Caenorhabditis elegans: one gene and its partners. The protein of the gene in region 2 interacts with the protein of the main gene of each other region in a pairwise test. Each region holds a gene or a part of one and is shown on either strand. Other genes may lie near its edges.

What was found.
Region 1: the proteins of ubxn-1 (region 2) and ero-1 interact in a two-hybrid assay, tested with the Caenorhabditis elegans proteins (one large-scale study listed by BioGRID).
Region 3: the proteins of ubxn-1 (region 2) and dbn-1 interact in a two-hybrid assay, tested with the Caenorhabditis elegans proteins (one large-scale study listed by BioGRID).
Region 4: the proteins of ubxn-1 (region 2) and gst-42 interact in a two-hybrid assay, tested with the Caenorhabditis elegans proteins (one large-scale study listed by BioGRID).

Annotation. Positions count from the first base shown.
Region 1 is NC_003279.8:14,662,927-14,667,489, reverse strand, and holds the start of ero-1 (Endoplasmic oxidoreductin), read right to left. Parts: upstream 3,042-4,563; 5' UTR 3,040-3,041; coding exon 2,824-3,039; intron 2,318-2,823; coding exon 1,918-2,317; intron 1-1,917. UniProt on the Caenorhabditis elegans protein: Oxidoreductase involved in disulfide bond formation in the endoplasmic reticulum. Efficiently reoxidizes pdi-1, the enzyme catalyzing protein disulfide formation, in order to allow pdi-1 to sustain additional rounds of disulfide formation.
Region 2 is NC_003279.8:2,432,065-2,436,209, reverse strand, and holds ubxn-1 (UBX domain-containing protein 1), read right to left. Parts: upstream 2,209-4,145; 5' UTR 2,200-2,208; coding exon 1,988-2,199; intron 1,931-1,987; coding exon 1,658-1,930; intron 1,606-1,657; coding exon 1,359-1,605; intron 1,318-1,358; coding exon 1,194-1,317; intron 679-1,193; coding exon 635-678; 3' UTR 519-634; downstream 1-518. Other genes in the region: tipn-1 (Protein TIPIN homolog), read left to right, coding at 2,601-2,679, 2,731-2,798, 2,847-2,951, 2,995-3,256, 3,313-3,500; F23C8.8 (Protein kinase domain-containing protein), read left to right, coding at 3,629-3,675, 4,097-4,145. UniProt on the Caenorhabditis elegans protein: Ubiquitin-binding protein which acts as an adapter for ATPase cdc-48.1 and/or cdc-48.2, conferring substrate specificity.
Region 3 is NC_003281.10:13,758,908-13,764,067, forward strand, and holds dbn-1 (DreBriN 1/DreBriN-like (where Drebrin is from Developmentally REgulated BRaIN protein) family homolog), read right to left. Parts: upstream 3,163-5,160; coding exon 3,024-3,162; intron 2,975-3,023; coding exon 2,862-2,974; intron 2,545-2,861; coding exon 2,243-2,544; intron 2,184-2,242; coding exon 1,974-2,183; intron 1,929-1,973; coding exon 1,330-1,928; intron 1,283-1,329; coding exon 714-1,282; 3' UTR 537-713; downstream 1-536. Other genes in the region: toca-2 (Transducer of Cdc42-dependent actin assembly protein 2 homolog), read left to right, coding at 1-76, 160-334, 378-441.
Region 4 is NC_003284.9:11,725,750-11,729,953, forward strand, and holds gst-42 (putative maleylacetoacetate isomerase), read right to left. Parts: upstream 2,188-4,204; 5' UTR 2,048-2,187; coding exon 1,981-2,047; intron 1,931-1,980; coding exon 1,866-1,930; intron 1,822-1,865; coding exon 1,648-1,821; intron 1,557-1,647; coding exon 1,476-1,556; intron 1,427-1,475; coding exon 1,290-1,426; intron 866-1,289; coding exon 745-865; 3' UTR 515-744; downstream 1-514. Other genes in the region: D1053.2 (Histone-lysine N-methyltransferase, H3 lysine-79 specific), read left to right, coding at 2,402-2,756, 2,811-2,917, 2,992-2,994; D1053.3 (Ras family protein), read right to left, coding at 4,114-4,204.

The DNA of each region.
Region 1 (4,563 bases), about 12 Mb from region 2:
AAACTATACTATATAATCTGAAAATTGTTACTTACACAATACAACTACAGTAACCCAACAGTGTCCCTCCACGTAGTAAAAATACGTCCGTAACAAAAGAGTAAAACGTAGTAAAACATCCACGTAGTAAAAGATGAGGTAGTAAAAAAGTACTTTCCGTAGTAAAAGATCTATGTGGTCAAATCGTAGTAAAAGATATCAAGTAGTAAAAGAGCTAACTGTAGTAAAAGATCAAGTAGTAAAACAGTATTTTCCCTTGTGGTATAATGAATCACGATACATGCATTTGCGAATGAAAATTCATGTGATACATTAATGCATCGTCACTAATAGATATAACGTACTTTAACGTACTTCCCCTATTAGTATTGCACGTATAGAGGAGTAAAAAGGAAATAAGCTATTAAATGTCGGATGAAAACACTAGATGCCAATACATAAATCGAATGAACTATCATAGTTATAATTATCATACGTTCAATTTATGAAACAATAGCCGAATATCATTCAAACTATGTCATTAAAAAATCACCTACATGGTAATTATCTGAAACAGTACATATGACTCTCGTATTATATAAAAGGAAATACAACACTTGTTGTATAATGAATATATTATTACATTGTCACTAATAGATTTACCGTGCTTCCCATATTAGCATCGCACCCAATTTATCGTTGCCTTTTGTTATATCCAAAAAAATATCTCAATTTCTTCTTATATAGTTTTGTAAATAGTTAATAATTTTTTAAAAAATCTATAGTGAATCATGTATTGTCACAGTGAAGTATAGTGGTGCAATATTACTAATACATACTATATAGGACGATAGTAGAGATTTTGAAAATATACGTTAATTTAACACAAGTCAAGCATAAAAGAATATCGTATGCATCTCAATTGTTCAATACTTGACATATAAGCTCTCGTATTATATACATAAAAAAATGTGCTAAAAAAAAGAATCGTCACTAATAAATTTACCGTAGATGCTAATTCATAAAATTATGTCGTAAACTATTATTGTTATAATTATTATACGTTAAATTTCTGAAACAAGAGCCGAATATCATTAAAGCTATTTATCTCATAAAGTCAGGTATAAAAGAATATTGTCTACATCTTATATACTTGTTCAATACATTGTGAGGCTACGACTTACCAGAAAAGAATATTCGTTAATAAATTTGATCCTAAATTGTGATATCGAAAAAGTTCGTTAAATTATAACATGCATGTGAGACATTTTGAAAAAAAAACAATGCACACTAGTCTAGATTAAAAATTTCAAAAACTTGAAACAACATTTAGCAATACTAACAATTGTATTAGTTACCGTATATCCTCTATTAGTTTTGCACCCCTTTTGTCAACTTTGGCAGCTCATATCTCAGTAGTCGTTTGTTCTATGGAAATGTTGTCAACTGATAAAATATTTGTTAGATATTTTTCTATAGTATTTAGTTTGTTAATTATTATTCATATGTTCAAAACAAAAAATGAGTAATGAGCTGTCAAAGTTGAGCAAAGGGGTGCAAAACTAATAGAGGATATACGGTAGTATATTGTTCCAAGCAATTCCCCATGATTTTTGGCAAATTGTGTATATTTTGGTAACACGCTCATAATTAAAATTAACCATGCTTCCCTTTTTCATTCATTATCCCGATTTCCTATAAATACACGTCAGCATAGCAAATGGAATTCTTACGAAATCCTCAAGGAATTGGGAAATTTGAAATTTAATGCAACGTGGCAATATTGAGTAAATTTAAACGATTTGATAATGAACGTTTTAACACATATCTAATCCAATAATTAAAACAACGCTCATATTACAAGCTAGCTACACTAACGTTTTAACGCAGCAATATAAAATTTTTCATGGCAAATATTCCAAATTTCAAAAGATGTACCTTCAATTTCACAGAATTTGTCCTCCAGTCCATCATCATGATGATCCATCGCATCCAATTGTCGTTTCTCATCATCATGAAGTGTTCTATCCATTGGATCAATATTATTTCCAGCATCTGCACACTTTTCAGCATCATCATCTTCTTCCTCTTTCACAGCAGCAGCCTCCTGAACAATTACCCCAATTTTCGTTGTCTCATTCCAGCGTTGTTGGCGGTTGTTGTTATGATTTTCTGATATTTCATGACTACTCTCATGAGAGCTTCTGCGTACCATATTCACTGCATTTCGTCGTCGAAGTCCCGCGGGAACCTCATCATCACAGAATGCGATTCCGCATTGATTTGTGCCACATTGTCGATCGTCTGCCCAGAATGGGCATGTTTTATCCATATTTACCTGAAAAATTCGAGTTTTTAAGGGGGAATTGGTGGTTTATTGCTATTTGTGGTTGAGGCTTACACTACAAACTACAATATATTTAAGCCTCAACCAATTTTTTGCTGAAAAAGTTTAAATCCTATGAAAAAACCGCCGTTTTTATTCAATATATACGTTACAAATTACTAATTTTCATTGAAAAAAAAAACGATTTTCGACGAAATTTAAATTGGTTGAGGCTCAGGCTACAAACTACAATTCTGGTAGCCTCACTCAAGCGATTTTTTATGAAAATTCGACGATTTTAATGCGAACAAAATATTGTTTTGTGAAAATTTGCGAATTTAGTTGAAAATAAGCTTTTACATCGAAAATTGTGTGCAAAATGATTTTACAAAATCGATTTTTTGCAAAACTCAATTTGGTTGAGGCCCAGGCTACAAACTACAATTCTTGTAGCCTCACTCAAGCGATTTTCTCAATTTTTAACGATTTCTCTCCCGAATTTCCCAAAAAATCCTCACCTTATAAAACCGGAAGAAATCCTTTTTGAGCAACTTCTGTACTTTCTCATAAATTCGATGATTATTCAATTTATCAATAGTCTGAGGTTTCGAGCAATCACATGGCTCAACCGCTTCGAACCCTTTACAGAAACATAGACGACCCGATTCGAATTGTGTATTGACGACGATGATTATTAGTGATAGAACTATTAATTGGAGTAATGGTTCTCTCATCACTGTAAGAAATTCCGAAATAAATTGCCTTTTGTTAATTTATTTTGAATTTTTTGAGACGGAATTCGAGTTGGAAAACTTTTAAAAAAATTATCGAGGACAAATACACGTTGCTTAAGAAATTATTTTGACCAAAAAGTGCATAAACAATAAATTTTCCGAATTTGCAGCTTAAAAGTACTTGAAGCCTGCAGAAAAGGAACAAAAACACGCGCCAAAAATTAATTTTCAGAAAAAATCGAATATTGAAGAAATTTGATTTGAAGAAAAATAAGAAAAAAAATTCGCCTCAGTTTTTATATTTTTAAGATAATAGAAATTATGAAAAATGAATTAAAAATGTTGGTTGAGGCCCAAACACTACAAACTACAAGGTTTTCGGTGGTTGAGGCTGAAAATCTTGTAGTTTGTAGTGTGAGCCTCAACCAAAATTTTATCTTCTTCTGAATTTTAATACTATTTTAAGTGATTTTTGTGATAATTAAACTAAAATTTGGAATAATTTCGCATAAAAATCAGTAAAATTCCGACTTTGAAGCTTAAAATTTCAATAAAACGTCGCTAAAAACCAAAAACAAACGCAAAAAAATTAATTTTTAGAAATAGTATCTTTTTTGATATTTTTAAGATTATGGAAATTACGAAAAATGACAAAAAATCTAGTGAAAATCCGCAAAAAATGAGGATTTCAGCATAAAAAACTACAAACTACAAAGTTTTCGGTGATTGAGGCTAAAAATCTTGTAGTTTGTAGTGTGAGCCTCAACCGCACCGTCAAATTGATTTCTTGAAAAGTTGAATTTTTGAGCTTCAAAAGTGAATTTCAGATGATTTTTAGACGAAATTTCGATCTAATTCAACTTTAAAGCATAAAAATCAGTGAAAATTTCGATTTTTAAGCTTTAAAATCTAATAAAACGTCACAAAAAACCAAAAACAAGCGCAGAAACATCATATATAAATACATCGAACAAAAATCCATCGCCGGCAGGGGGAGAGAGAGAGAGATTCTCGAATCGGATAGGGAACAGAAACAGTCCGAATATATTCGGGAAGACCGAGAGAGAGAGACGGAGACATTTCTGTGCGAAACAACAAGGCCGTTTCTCCGGTATTTCCGACAAGCCGCTCGGCGGGGGAGGAGCTTTTCCGTCATAAAATGCCGGAAACCGGAATATTGAGCAAGGCGAAAATAAAACAGAAATAAATAAATCAAACCTCAATGTTTTTTTCTTTTTTTTTCGATTATATCAGAAAATCAATCACAACAACCGCTGAAACGCTGAATATATTAAATTAAATTTTTTTAAAACCTTTTTTTTATTTTTAATTTTTTCGATTACAAAACACTTCAAACTCCTAAAATTCAGTTCAAAAAATCAAAAAAAAAGTACAGAACATACACAGAGCCGTCGCCAAGGTAGTCGCAATGCAAACATGCTCCACGGAGAAAGTAACAATACGTTGCGTTATTGCACAAAGCGACGCGAATTGATATCAAATAATGGAAAAAAGGGGGTGAAA
Region 2 (4,145 bases):
AATGCAACTCAAAACAGGATTCACCAAAACAGGATGCAAGGGCGGAGCCTATTTCGCAACAACCGCGCATGCTTTTCCCGCAAGCCTCGCACGTTTTTTCCTTGATGTTGTTGCATTTTTTAAAGAGAAAAAACGTGCGAGGCTTGCGGAAAAAGCATGCGGTGGTTGCGAAATAGGCTCCGCCCCTGTATCCTGTTTTGAGTTGCATTCCGTTTTGGTGGGGCCTCTTAAATTAAATCGAAAAGAAAATCTGAGCCCGTAAATCGACCTACAGTAATCATTTAAAGAATTACTGCAGTTTTCGCTGCGAGATATTTTGCGCGTCAAATATGTTGTGCAGTACGCAGGTTTTTATTCCAATATCTTCCAGGTTCTAATGCTTCCAATCACTCTGGAGATATGATTGTCCTGCAGCTTGTCAGAAATCTGTGGCAAGAGCTCGGAGAGCAAAACTGACGGGAATTCGAAGATCACGAGGAGATGAAGAGCCTCGAGATATATGGAGGGGAAAAAAGTTTATCGGAAAATTTTTATACATGCTCAATATACATGTTTAGTTTACAAGTGATACCAGCATTCGGGAGAGGGGGGAGAGAAAATTAGCAGTAAATTGTGGGAATTTAGTTTTGAAGATTCAGGCGGCACGGTTGAGAATGACGTTGGCGGATGGTACCAAATCTGAAAATTTTAAAAAAAAATTAGAGAATGAACATTTTTTTGGTCTCAAAAAACCAAAATTCATAACGAAACTTTTCAAATTTTTATTTATTTTTTTCGAAAAAATGGCCCAATTACAGCAGAAATCTATATATTTTAGCGTTTTTTTCGTTGATTTAGGCACATTTAAAGTCAAATTGCACCATACTGCTCCAATATTTAAAAATTAGTGTCAAAATATAGAAAATCAGTTGATTTTTCTGAAAATAATACTTAATTTAACTGAAAAATTCGAAAGTGCTCAAAAATTGCCTTACAATTGACAATTCGTGACTTCTAGGCCATTTTTGAGCACTTTTTCAGATTCTTCAGTTAAATTGAGTCTTTTTGCTGAAGAAGGACAAAAATCGAATAAAAATAAATTTCCGGCAGCTGTGAACAGGAAAAGTTGGCGAAATAGCTGAAAATCGTCCACTTTTTTTTTCGAAAATTTCCAAGTTTCATCATGAAATCCGGCCTTTTTGAGCAAAACTCACTGAGAACTTTGAGCGGTGTTCCCATATCATCCTCGGTGAACACTTTGCGGGGGAATGGGGTCATCAGGGTGAACGGAACACCGTTTGCGTGATTAGTTTCGACCCAGGCGCGGACCATTGCGAGCTGAAAAATTAATTCAAGGGAGTCGAGAATATTTAAATTACCGGCTCATTAGCTTCAAACTGTTGTCTAACAGTTTGTCCATCGAGAAGTCGGAATTGAAGAGTTGTAGTTGAGTAGTCTTTTGGCGGAGCAACTGGAGCTGCAGACGGAGCAGGCTTTGCCTCTGGAACCGGTTGGCCTGAAGCTTTTGCCTTACGGGCTTCCTTGTCAAGCCGGATTTGCTCGAGAACTCGTTTTCTGGCGATTTCGTCTTCGTTCTTTTCGCGGCGACGATCTTGAGCGGCTTCTCTGCAAATTGGGAATATTATTATTTAAATTCAATGGAAAACAGTTTTCTAACCGAATTTCACGATCTCTGGCGGCTTCTTTATGGCTGATCATGGCTTTTCCATCCTCACGACGCTTTTTCTCCTTCTCACGATTCTCTTCGGCCTCGAGCTTTGCCTTTTTGGCCTGATGGACTTTGATTTTTTCTCGGATTTCCAGGACTTTTGCGGCCTTTTCCTCTGCAGTGAGAGGCTTGATAGCTTCCGAGCTTTCGCTGAAATTCTCGTGCTTTGTCTTCGAAGCGTGGAACATGATAGCATCATCGTTGGCGAGAAGCTTTCCGCAGCTGGAAAAAAAAATTTGGAGAAATAATTAATAAGAATCGTAGGGGGGAAAAACTCACTCATCACACTTAAAACTGGCGGCTACCGGGGGTGCACCACTGTCAGCGGCTCCTGGAGCAGCTTGAGCTGGAGCATCTGTCTCCATTGGTACACCGGCTCCGTCCTTCTCAATCCAATCCAACGCCTGATCGAGATTTCTGTTGTTTCCGGCGGCGGCCTCGGCTTTGTCGGCTGGGAAGCCCATATCCATGAGTTGTTGGGCGATCGACATTGTTATTCTGGAAAGAAATGCGACAATTTGGCGAAAAACTAGATTTTTTCTCATTTTCCAGAAGAATTTTGGGATTTTTTACGAAATAAGCTGTTCAAAACAGTGATATATTAACAATAAAGTGGTTTAATTAATAAAAAACCTTAAGAAATGCGTTTAAATCAGAAAATTCAGATAATAAATGGACTGGAACACTTTTTCTAGCCAAGAACACAAAGAGAATGCTGACTTTCTTTAAAGGCGCACGCATTTAATCGATCGGGTCTCGACGCGATTCAGCCGATTTTGTCGGCGCGTTGTTTGAAAATAGTTTTTTAAACGCTAAGATTTTTGCATTTTTTTTCGTTTTCTGCACGAAAACCTAGAAATTTCGATCGAAAATCAACTTTTTTTCCAGAAAAATGGACGAAATGGAAGATTTCTTCGAAAATGATGAATTGGATCGAGAGCCAAGCCCTATGGGAGACGAAGCAATCGAAGGTATCTAGAATTTCGTGTGAGAAATCGGGTTTTAATTAAAGTTTTGTTCAGATAACAGCGGCGAGGGAGGCACTAGACGAGTCGTGGAGCCGAAATTGTTAAGGACTAAAAGACTAGCAGTAAAACGCTTATTTTCTATGATTTATTTAAATTTTTTCAAACTTTAGAATCCACGCCTAGCACTGAATGAGCGAATTTTGACCGGGCCGAAAGGAATTTCAGCTCTTCGGGAGACTTTAAAAGATTTCAAGCCAAATCCCAAGGATGATCCGGTAAATTTGAAAGTTAAAAAATACAATAATTTTCCCTTTTCAGTACGCAAATCTGGAGAAATTGATGAAAAAATACGCATACTGGGGACATTTGATGTTTCCGAAGATGAAAACCGAAGATGTTCTGAATCGAGTCGAGACACTGGGAACACGGCGGCAGGTTAAAGTTTTCATGATCAAGCACCGGCTTGGAGAGACTGGCGAGGATTCTGAGCACGAGGAGCAGGAGAATCAAAAGAATGGAATTATTGATGATGGAGCGAGTGATAATGACGATGATTTATTCAAGGATTTACCAGAGAAAGGTTGCAAAATTTATCCAAACTTGTTATTAGAAAATCAAAAAATCTTTCAATTTCAGAAGTCACGACTGAAAAAGCTAAAAATTCTGAAAAATCCGACCAAAAAACCGCTGAAATTGATGAAAATGTCGAGGAAGAGTATCGAATGATGGAGGAAGAGCGGCTGCGAGAGGAACAGGAAGCCAAGGAAGCTGCTGACGAAGATGCTCTTATGGAAGATTTCGGTGATATGAATAACGATTGGTGATAGAGCAATTAATTTTTTTTAATTTCACGTGTATTTTATATTTTTATGAACTTTTCTTTGTTCTCGAATTTTCCAAAGCGTGAGACCTTTTTTTTATCGAATAAAACTACATTCCTTATTGTTATGACATGTCAACGCCAACACTCTCTCCGTCTACAGAAAAGTTGATTCCGATGTGAGTTTCTGGAGGTCAAAAATTCGAGTTTTTCTTGATTTTCGCCGTTTTTCCAACGAATATTCTCAAAATATTGGAATTCCGCGGAAGAAAAATCAGGAAAAATTGCGAAATCGGCAAAAATTTCCACCGTACCCCTTTAAAAGCGCACGGCTCGCTTTAAAAAGTAACAATCGTGCCAGGACCTTTGAGTGAAATGAGGAGTGCGCCTTTAAGAAAGTACGGTCTTTTTCAGATTATTTCGCAATTTTTCCGGGTTTCCTGTTATTTTTCGAAAGAGAATCGAAATTTAATTAGAAAATCTGATTGTGAAATTGATTGCAAAAGACACAGTAATCGCCTAAAGGCGCATGGGCTTTCTGCTCCCTCAGAAAAACTTTACAGGCCTAGTTTGAGACTAAAAACCTTTGAATTTCTGTAGAATTGGACTAAGCGTGTCTGGAACATTCTCACCTCGTCCAATTGCCACC
Region 3 (5,160 bases), on a different chromosome or scaffold from region 2:
AAGTCTTCAACTCCGACGCCACTACGACGAAGAGCCGAAATCTCATCACCAAAGATTCTCAGATCCTCATTTTCAGGTTAAATTAAAAATCCATTTTTTTCCTTTTAAAAGCTTTTATAAAAGAAAAAATAGTTAAATATAAGTATAAATTTTTTGCAGGTGCCATTCGCAAATCTTTATCGACTCCCGATTCAGTTAAAGTCGAGACAGCGGTTACGGTAACCGCACTGTTCGAATTTGCCAAATCCTCCGCGGAGACCATGTCCATCGAGCAGGGCGAAATTCTTCTCGTACTCGAACACGATCACGGAGATGGATGGACTCGAACCAAAAAGTAATACAAGTAACAAAGAATTACCAAGTAAATAAAATGAAAGTTGCAGGAAACACAACGAAGAGTCAGGATTCGTGCCAACTTCGTATTTGCAATTCCCCCAGTGATTTCATAAATTAAATAGCATTATCATCATCAATATTGTACTCGAGACTGCGCTTATTATCGTCCTGTGAATGAAATAATTGATTATAAAAACAGATTCTTCGATTTTCGATTCATATTGCCATTTACGGAGAAAATGCACATAAAAAGTAATGGTATAATAAATTACAGGAAGTGGGAGAATGGGAGGCACCGCGGATTGTTGAGTTTAAAATGGGAAAAAAACATTGCACAATAAATTAGTAAAAAAGAACGGTTAGGCTATCTAGACAAATTAAATCAGCTTCACATAATTAGCGGGAAAAAGGCCTACGCGGCCGCTGGGCGCACGTCCTTTCCACCATCCGCTATCGACTTGATCGATATCTGTGATAATGTCATCAGGATCAAATGAGATCTCCGTGTCATCTGCAGCCTGGTAGTCCCAGAGAGCCATCGCGTTCTGCTCGGCGACCGCCGGCGGGAAATCGTACTGATCAATTGGTGGAGCAGCGACTTTTATTGGCGAGGATTTCGGTGCAAACACGGGCTCCTCTGGCATCACTGGAGGCATGTCATACTGTGAGGCGATGTGAGCTGGCAGTTGAGAGCTCGATGAGTGAGAGTCGATCGGCTCCGGCGGAGCATCATACTGAGACGCATAGTGGGAAGGAGCTGAAACTGGAGGTACAGCTGGTTCGAAAGACTCGTGAACCGGTGGAGCATCGTACTGGGAGGCGTAATGCGATGGAGCTGGAGTTGGCTCAGGTGGAGGTGGAGCAATGACCGGGGTTGGAGCAAGGAATGTAGGTGGAGCTGGCTCTGCTGGTGGCTCTTCGTATGCATCGTAAGAGACGGCAGGTTCTGAAAATATTCAAATTAGGACTAATAAACTTTATACGAAAACTGACTCATAGCCTCGGGCTTGTAAACCATTGGCTCTGGCTCATAAGCTATTGGCTTTGGCGTATACGTCGAAGGCTCATCTGGCTCAGTGAGTCGGTTAACGGGTTCACGGGGCGGAGAGGTCGTGCCAACTGGCGGCCACTTCTTAGGCGATCCATTCACTTGAGGCTTCGGAAGCACTGGACCGGAAGGTTTTGAGCTGAATAATTCTTTTCTGCTTCCAACGAGACCTGCGCTCGGAGTGGGGGCGGGAGCTGGAGCTGGATTCACCGAAGATGGCACGGGCTTATCACTAATTTGAGCCTTCCCGTGAAGATCATCCGCAATCCGTTTTCGATCCGTCTCGAATTCCTTCTGCTTCTGGGCCTGTGCCTCTTTTTCCTCCGCTTGCCGCCGCTGCTCCTCCTCGTTCATCTTGCTCCAGAACTCTTCGCGAGCTGATGAACTGATCTCCACGTGCGGTTTTGTTGGCTTGTACACCGATGTGACCTTATCCGGTTGATAGTTTTCTGTTTTGGAGTGAATTTCCGAGGCCATTCGCTGTCGATCCGCTTCGAACTGCTTGTGTGCTTGTTCACGAGCGGTTTTTTCTTCTTCTTGACGCCTAAAATTGCGAATTCTATTTCAATAAATTACTCAAAACACCCACAGCTTCTCCTCCTCGTTCATCTTGCTCCAAAACTCCTCCCGTTTGACCGTCTTCAGCTCAACGTGGGGCTTCGTCGGCTTGTACACCGAGTTAACCTTCTCCGGCTGGAAATCTTCGGCTTTTGTGTGAATTGCCGCGGCCGTGCGATCACGGTCAGCTTCATACTGCTTTTGCTGTTTCGCATGAGCCACTTTCTCGTCGGCTTGTCGTCTGAAACTTCTTAGAGGTGATTACTTGATTTTCAGGACACGATTTCATGTAGACAGTACCTCTTCTCCTCTTGATTTGTTGTGCTCCAGAAGTTCTCGCGAGCCTCCGAGCTGAGCTCCGAGTGTGCATTCGTCGGCTGGTACACCGAATTCACCTTCTCCGGCATGCTGTACGTGGATTCGACGATGGCGTTGGCGTTCGCCGCCGGGAGCTTTCGCACCTCTTTTCGAATCGCGTCCGGCTCGATGTCGATTTCCGATCTGGCATGGAGCACAATGTGAACTGTTTTCAAGAATCTACGGAACTCTTCAGCGTGCGGTGTCGTTGAGGCCAAACGCAGTGTGGGGACTCCTTCGCCTTGCTGCAATATTCAAACATTAAAATGGTTTTTTTCCTGGAACTTCGTGTTTAAAAGTATACAAATCTCGATACATCTCTAAAAATATTTGAAACCATAACTGACAAAGAATTTTTGGAAAAAACTACAGTTTTTGTTTTACAAATGGATTTTTAAAAAAAATTTTCAGCAAAAAATCTCACAATAGCGTTATCTTTTGAGAGGAACATGGAATGCAAGCAAATTGACATGATTTTTGTTAATATTCAACTTTTAAGACCTAGTAATCACGAATTTTTTCGATTTTCGTTTTCCTTTCAATTTAGCCGTAAACTCCATACCCAATGCACCAAAACGATTTTCGGGAAGACATCACTGCTCAGTCGCACCGAAATCACACCAAACTGGAGCTTTCCCGAGCTGAAACTGTCGGCGAACTCCTCAAGACCACCAGCTGAAATAAATAGATTTTTAGGAGGGAAAGCAACGAAATCTGAACTTACTTCCTTCTTCTTTGACTCGTAATGTGTTCGAATTTCCTTCATAATCGAAAATCACCCATTTATCGCCATCTGAGTCATCACTGGCACGCCGATACGACGCTTCAATCTCCTTGCCGTGTGCATGATAGTTGAGAGTCATCTGGAACACATACAATATAGGGTTCGACGACCTATATTGTAATTATTAAGCTAAAATCGAGGGAAAATTGTAATAGTGACGCGATAAAAAGCCTCCGAATGGTCTCCTTATCATTTTTTTATTTTCTTTCTACGCAGAACTTATTTCTCTATGGTACTCCATTAATCACACTATGTTTCGCAACATATGGCAAATTTGCCACAAAGGTGTGCATTTTTCTCGATTTGATCGAGTCACGAGGTAATTTTCAATTAAGGCCGAGAAATTTATGGGTTAATATAAAGAATCTCAAGTAAAAAATCGTTTAAAAGACCATTTTCGGTAGTTGACCAGGAAATGAGAGAACGGAACGGGCGTAGCCGCCAGCAAACATCTCTCGTTCCCGCGCCAGCGGTAGGCAGAGACCCTCCAGAAAACTAAAGAAATGTCTCGAGAGATGTTTTTTTTTTCCGGTAGGCGAGATTGAATTGGAATCAAAGCTTAATCTTCTCGCGGTCGAGTCTCCGCGTGCGTGTCTCACACATTTTTGCATGAAAAACTCCGGATTCTATGGTCTGATCGTTGCGATTAAAAATGGAAAACTAATAGGCTGACCGACAAAAATTTGCGAAAATACCCAATTATTTTCAATGCAAAGATACAAAATTTGATGGAAAAGAGAAACAAATAAACTTTCAGAAATCAGGTTAAAAGAGGATGGGTCTCGCCACGAATAGATTTTTAAAGTCATGTGCCTTTGAAGTTACGGTAGTTGAGCGGCTTCAAATTTATTATTTTTAATTATGGCAATATTTTCACTTTCTGGTTAATTTTAAGCGAAAAATTGAGTTTGGAGGAAATTTGTTTCGTTTCAAATTATTTAAATTGTTTTGAAACAGAAAAAACTAAAGCTGTAATTCATCGCTTAAAATTTTATATTTACAGATATTTCTGATCTAAAAAAAACAGAAGAAAGAATATTCAAATGTTCAAGAAAGAATGTCAACAGTACTGCTAGAAATTCAAAAAATAAATCTAAAATTTGGAGCGTTTGAAGGTGGTTTAAGCTTTCATGAAAACATTTTAAACGATCTGCAGGTTAAAATCTAAATAAAAATAGGTTTTCACATTGAAAAACGGCATAGATGATTAATTTCAACACATTTTTTAGATTTTCTACATATGTACTCATCTATTTGAAAACGAAATTGAAAGGGATAGAAAACATATTAATAACACTAATCAAAAAGAAACATTGGCCCCAAGATGTGTGTGAGTCACTTTTGATTGTGTTTGTGTGTGTTGGGCCAGTTCAGGGCGGCAGTAAGATAGTAAGGGAAATAGTGAGGCTGTCCGTTAAGACGCAGCAGTTCAGAGCGCTCAGTGGAACATACGACCGCCCTTAATGGCTGTCGTCTCTCACTCGTATGAAGTCGGACACAAGAAGTATGTAGTAGTAGTGGTATATTTAATTGTTCGTGTGTGTAGGTCTTTACTAAAAACTTTTCCTTCTAGGTGACCCTAAATCTCTTCGCTTTTCATACTGTCTCACAGTCAAAGGGTTAAAGCAGTAAATTTTGGGATTTTCTGCAGAATGACTAATCTCTTGATGACTTCTCTACTTGCGACTGTTTGTTTGCGCATTTGTGAACTGAGTCATTCTGATCATTTTTGGGGGAATGAATTGTTCCATCAGGTTGATTAAAAAATAGTTGGTGAATCGAAATTTCAAAAAAAAATTGAGGCAGGATGTTTCGCGCGCTGGGTAGAGAAAAACGATATTTACATAAAATGAACAAAGTGAAAACATAGAATCTCTTCCTCTTGGCTGTCCGAAAAGCAAACAGAAACCGTGTGTTAGGGCAAAAATACAGAGAAAAAGCCATTCGACACACTTCTCTCTCTTCCTCCTGACTCAGTCACCAGTGCTCACAGCGTGCATTTGCTCTTTCCGAGAGAGAAAATCTTCTCAATACATCCGGAAACCTTGGAAGAACAACAAAAAGTAGAAAATATTGA
Region 4 (4,204 bases), on a different chromosome or scaffold from region 2:
CTGCGAAGAGCGAGCCAGAGATAGAGAAAATGAGAAAAGTTGGAAATTGAACTTTGCAGACCACACTGACAAAGAAAAGAGGGGGAGAATGCGGGAGGAGAAGAGTGAAAAAAACGGATACTTTGATGAATCGAAAGGCCGGCTTGTGTTGTGGGTGGCAACCAACTAGTACTATGACTATGCCAACCTCGCCCGTAAAAACACGTTCTCTTTGCACGGAAGTCTTCCGAAAGTTCTCTAAAAGTTTCCATGACACAACATTGCCGATTGGGTTTTCAGATGCTAATCCCCAGGGATTGAGTTTGGTCATGAAGAGGAGGACAAAAAAATGACTTTTGGAGGCTTCCGGTCTGCAACTGTTTAACTTGAATTTCGAAACATACTTCTAAATAGGTAAACATCAAAAATTCTGTCTTCAAAGCAGGACATTTTTTTTGAACGCAAAAAAGTTATCAGTGGAACTCGCATACTAAAAAATTTTCCATTGGATATTTCGTTTGAATAAAGTTCAAAATATTTTTAAGAAATTAATTTATTTGAAAAAAAAACACTCAGTATGAAAACGAGAAAAGTTAGTTTACAAAGTTAAAAAAAGCAACTTGCTTTAGGATATCGCGGACATTTTCTGTTGTAAATTTATTATTACTTTTGTGCTAATTTAAGAGACAAAGAAACATTTTTTTTTAATTCTCAAATAGTTAACTCTTGTATGTCCAATCCAATAACGCAATCATTCATAAGAATCTAAGCATTGAGTCCGGTATCTGGTTGATTATCAGGATGAGCGGCAATAAAGGCGGGGATATCAGCAAGAGTCTCATTGATACGATTCACTGTTGGGTATGGCGACAAATCGAGGTTGAATCTGAAATGACGGTTTGATTGCGATCGGAACGATTTGGAAGGGAGGTTATTCTGATGGTTATCTGTGAATCTCTCATGTCTCATCCTAAACGCTCATCGCTTCCAATTCATGTTTGTTGAATGACTAATACATTTTGTTTGAATCAGGAATCCGATAAAAAGGTTGTTGCCACACAAGTGGATGTTGTTTTCAATAGGAATGTGTTTTCGTTTAAATCACTTGCTAAGATGATTCAGTAACTGTCTATGAAAAATTGGTCAGTGTTGTTTGAGGGTAACCCAAAAGGTGTTCAAATTTTCGAGGTTTTGAATACGCAAAATGTCAAACTAATACATTGAAATTCTGGATAGATTACTAAAACATAATAAATTTTCTCAAAAAGTTATCTATGTCCAAAATTCCCTGACCCTCCCTATAATCATACCGGTTAGCTGAGTAGATAAGTGGCGGGATGGAGAGATCCGCAATCGTGACGTCATCTCCGACAGCATACTTCCCAGAATGTTGCTTTAGAAGAATTTCAAGAGCAGTGAGACCTTCGACAACAAACTGTTTGGCAAACTGAAATTTTAAAAATTGAAAACATACATTGAAGATTCTGAAATTAAACCTGTCCTCCGAATCCTGCTTCTTTTTTATTCAAAAGTTGAAGAACCTTCAAATTGTGAAGAGGTTGAATTCCAGAAGCAACCTGTAAACCTCAAAACATAATTGTTACAGTTTTTGTAAAACAATAGCAGTATAAAGTTAAGAAAAAAACCAACTAAATACGTAAAACTTACCAAAAGAGAAATAGCTCTAGCGTGAGCTCTCTTGATTGGATCTTTTGGCAAAAGTGGAACGTCTGGATGCGTTTCTTCCAAATACTCAATAATCGCAAGACTTTCAGTAATTACTTGACCATCCACAACAAATGTTGGTACTTTTGCAGCTGGGTTGATTTCTTTCAGTTTGCTCTAAATTTTAAAATAATTTAAAGAACCGCTTGATTTTCTCTTACCTTAGCCTCTTCGGACAGCAAGTCGACAGTTTTGTATTCGTAGTCCACGTTTTTCAAAGCAAGCGCTGAAAATAACATTTTTGCTAGTTAAAATTGATATAATTAAAATACCAACCGATGCGAACTCTCCATGAGCACGATGATCTCCAATAAGAATACAGAACTGGCTTTTGGTTGGACATGTCTACAAGCAGAAAATAATTTTGTAAATTCTCAGAAAGAATAACTGATGATAATGACTAGTTGAAAAATAAACAAAAAGGGTCAAAGACGGAATGATGTCGAACTAACTGATAAGATTGGACGGTGTATGTCGACGAAATGGTTTTGTTGTTGTATATTGCAGACGCAGAACACTAGAGATAGTGTAATTGTGCAGACACACGTGGTCTTCTACTATACATTACCAACATCATATGTAGACCAAGAGAGAAATGCAGATTCAAAAAACATTAGAAGGAATAAGAAGAAGTAGACAAAACTATGGTAAGCCTTGGGCGATGCCTTGAGAGAACAAGCAGCCCACGACTTTTTTTATGAGGCTGCTCCCAACTCTTGCCCAAGCTGTACCCAAGTCATTTTTTCAAAGACAATATAAAAATACACAGTGCACTTTGATGTGCTTAAATGAAATTGAGAGCATCCAGGAACTATTTTTCAATTTAAACGACGTTGAGACACGTTCATTAAAAGCATATCTGGTGGATCGTATTAATGAGATCCAGACCCAAGCCACGGTGATTGTGGTGAACAACGTTCGTTTTTCGCCGGAGCTCAAGTTGGAGCTGAAAGAGATCTTGTCGAAATGCATTGACGGAACGCGGATCATTTCATCAGAGTCGATTGTTCCACGTCCCCGTTCTCAAAGCTCGACTTCTCGTCGTATCGATGGTAAGTTGAAACTAGGTGTTAGGTACATCAAAATACTAATTATATCTTTTTCAGATTTTGTGAAAATCACGGACGAGCGTCTTCTTCATCTTGTGGAAAACAATACGTCTTGGACTGGTGACAAAGTTCCGTTTTATCTCACTGAGATCAACCGCAATAAGGTAAGTTCGTGAATATGAGAAATATTTGCGGTTATGGGTTAAAATCAGAACTAATATTAATTAACTTTTTACAGTGATCGTCGACGCCCTTTCTTCTTCCCAACTCCTCTCTCATCAACGTGTCTTCGTGCTCGGGTCAACTTCTGATTTTCCGGTGTATTTTCTATTTAAGATCTCCCCTTCACTCCCTATAGATCTTTCATCTCCTTTGTTTTCCCCTCAGTCTCTTCTCAGTGCGTCAATGTAGCACGTTTATGATTTAAAAAACCAACTTCTTGCAATCTGTACTATCACTCAAGTTGGTCCAATAAATTGTTGTTTTTAAATCAACCGTCCTATTTATAAAACGTTTCAAAATGTCCTTCCATGTTAGTCTGTCCGTTCTCTGCTGTCCTCGCAAGTCTCTGAATCCCTCGTCGTTGTGATCCTAAAATCCGTCATCGATTTGTCCATTGAGTATTCTCAAAAAAGTTCCCATCAACGACATTTCTATTTCTGACCTGAATCAGTCGAAACGCAAGAGAGGTAAAGATCAGTCGACTAGGGATTGGGATGAAGCTGGTTCTAAAAACTGGTCTTTTGATAATCTGTCATTTTTCAGTGATCAATCCTATGTCATCCGTCTGGCTGCTTCAACAATGTCTACGCTGTAACTTCACAGTATACAACAAACTCTTGAAAAAAGTATGTTCCATTAGGTTATTCATTAGTTGGTATTGAGCTTTTCTTCTAATTGGACTGTAAAGTAATATGCAAAAAGTGATTAATGGATTTTTTTAGTCTTGTAAAATATTAATACAGTGAACTACCGCGCAAAATTTTACACATTTCAAGCATCGAAATGCTATTTTCAAATTGTTTTTGAATCCCTCTTTTAGTTAAGATTTCATCCAAAAATGTAATAGTGGAGAAAATGTTTATTTACAAATTATTTATTCCAATCTCAAAAATTAATAAAACACAAATACACAAACTACTGTTATAAAATCCAATTATCATCAATATCACAAGTTCACTGGAAACATACATTTCAAAATTACCGGGAGGTTCGGGGAGCTGACTAGAACTGAAAAGTTCACCAAGAAAAGAAACATTAAAATTTAAGTACAGTTGTGTTTCAGTAATTTTTCCATAATACGAAACAATGCATTATCTATTCCCATTTGAGATCAAACGACATTCCATATTTCCTCACATTACATTATGATGCACACTTTTGAATCTTCAACTTTCTCTCCTTTTTCTTTTTTACCATTTTTCTTTTTCTCATTCACTGCCTCGAATATC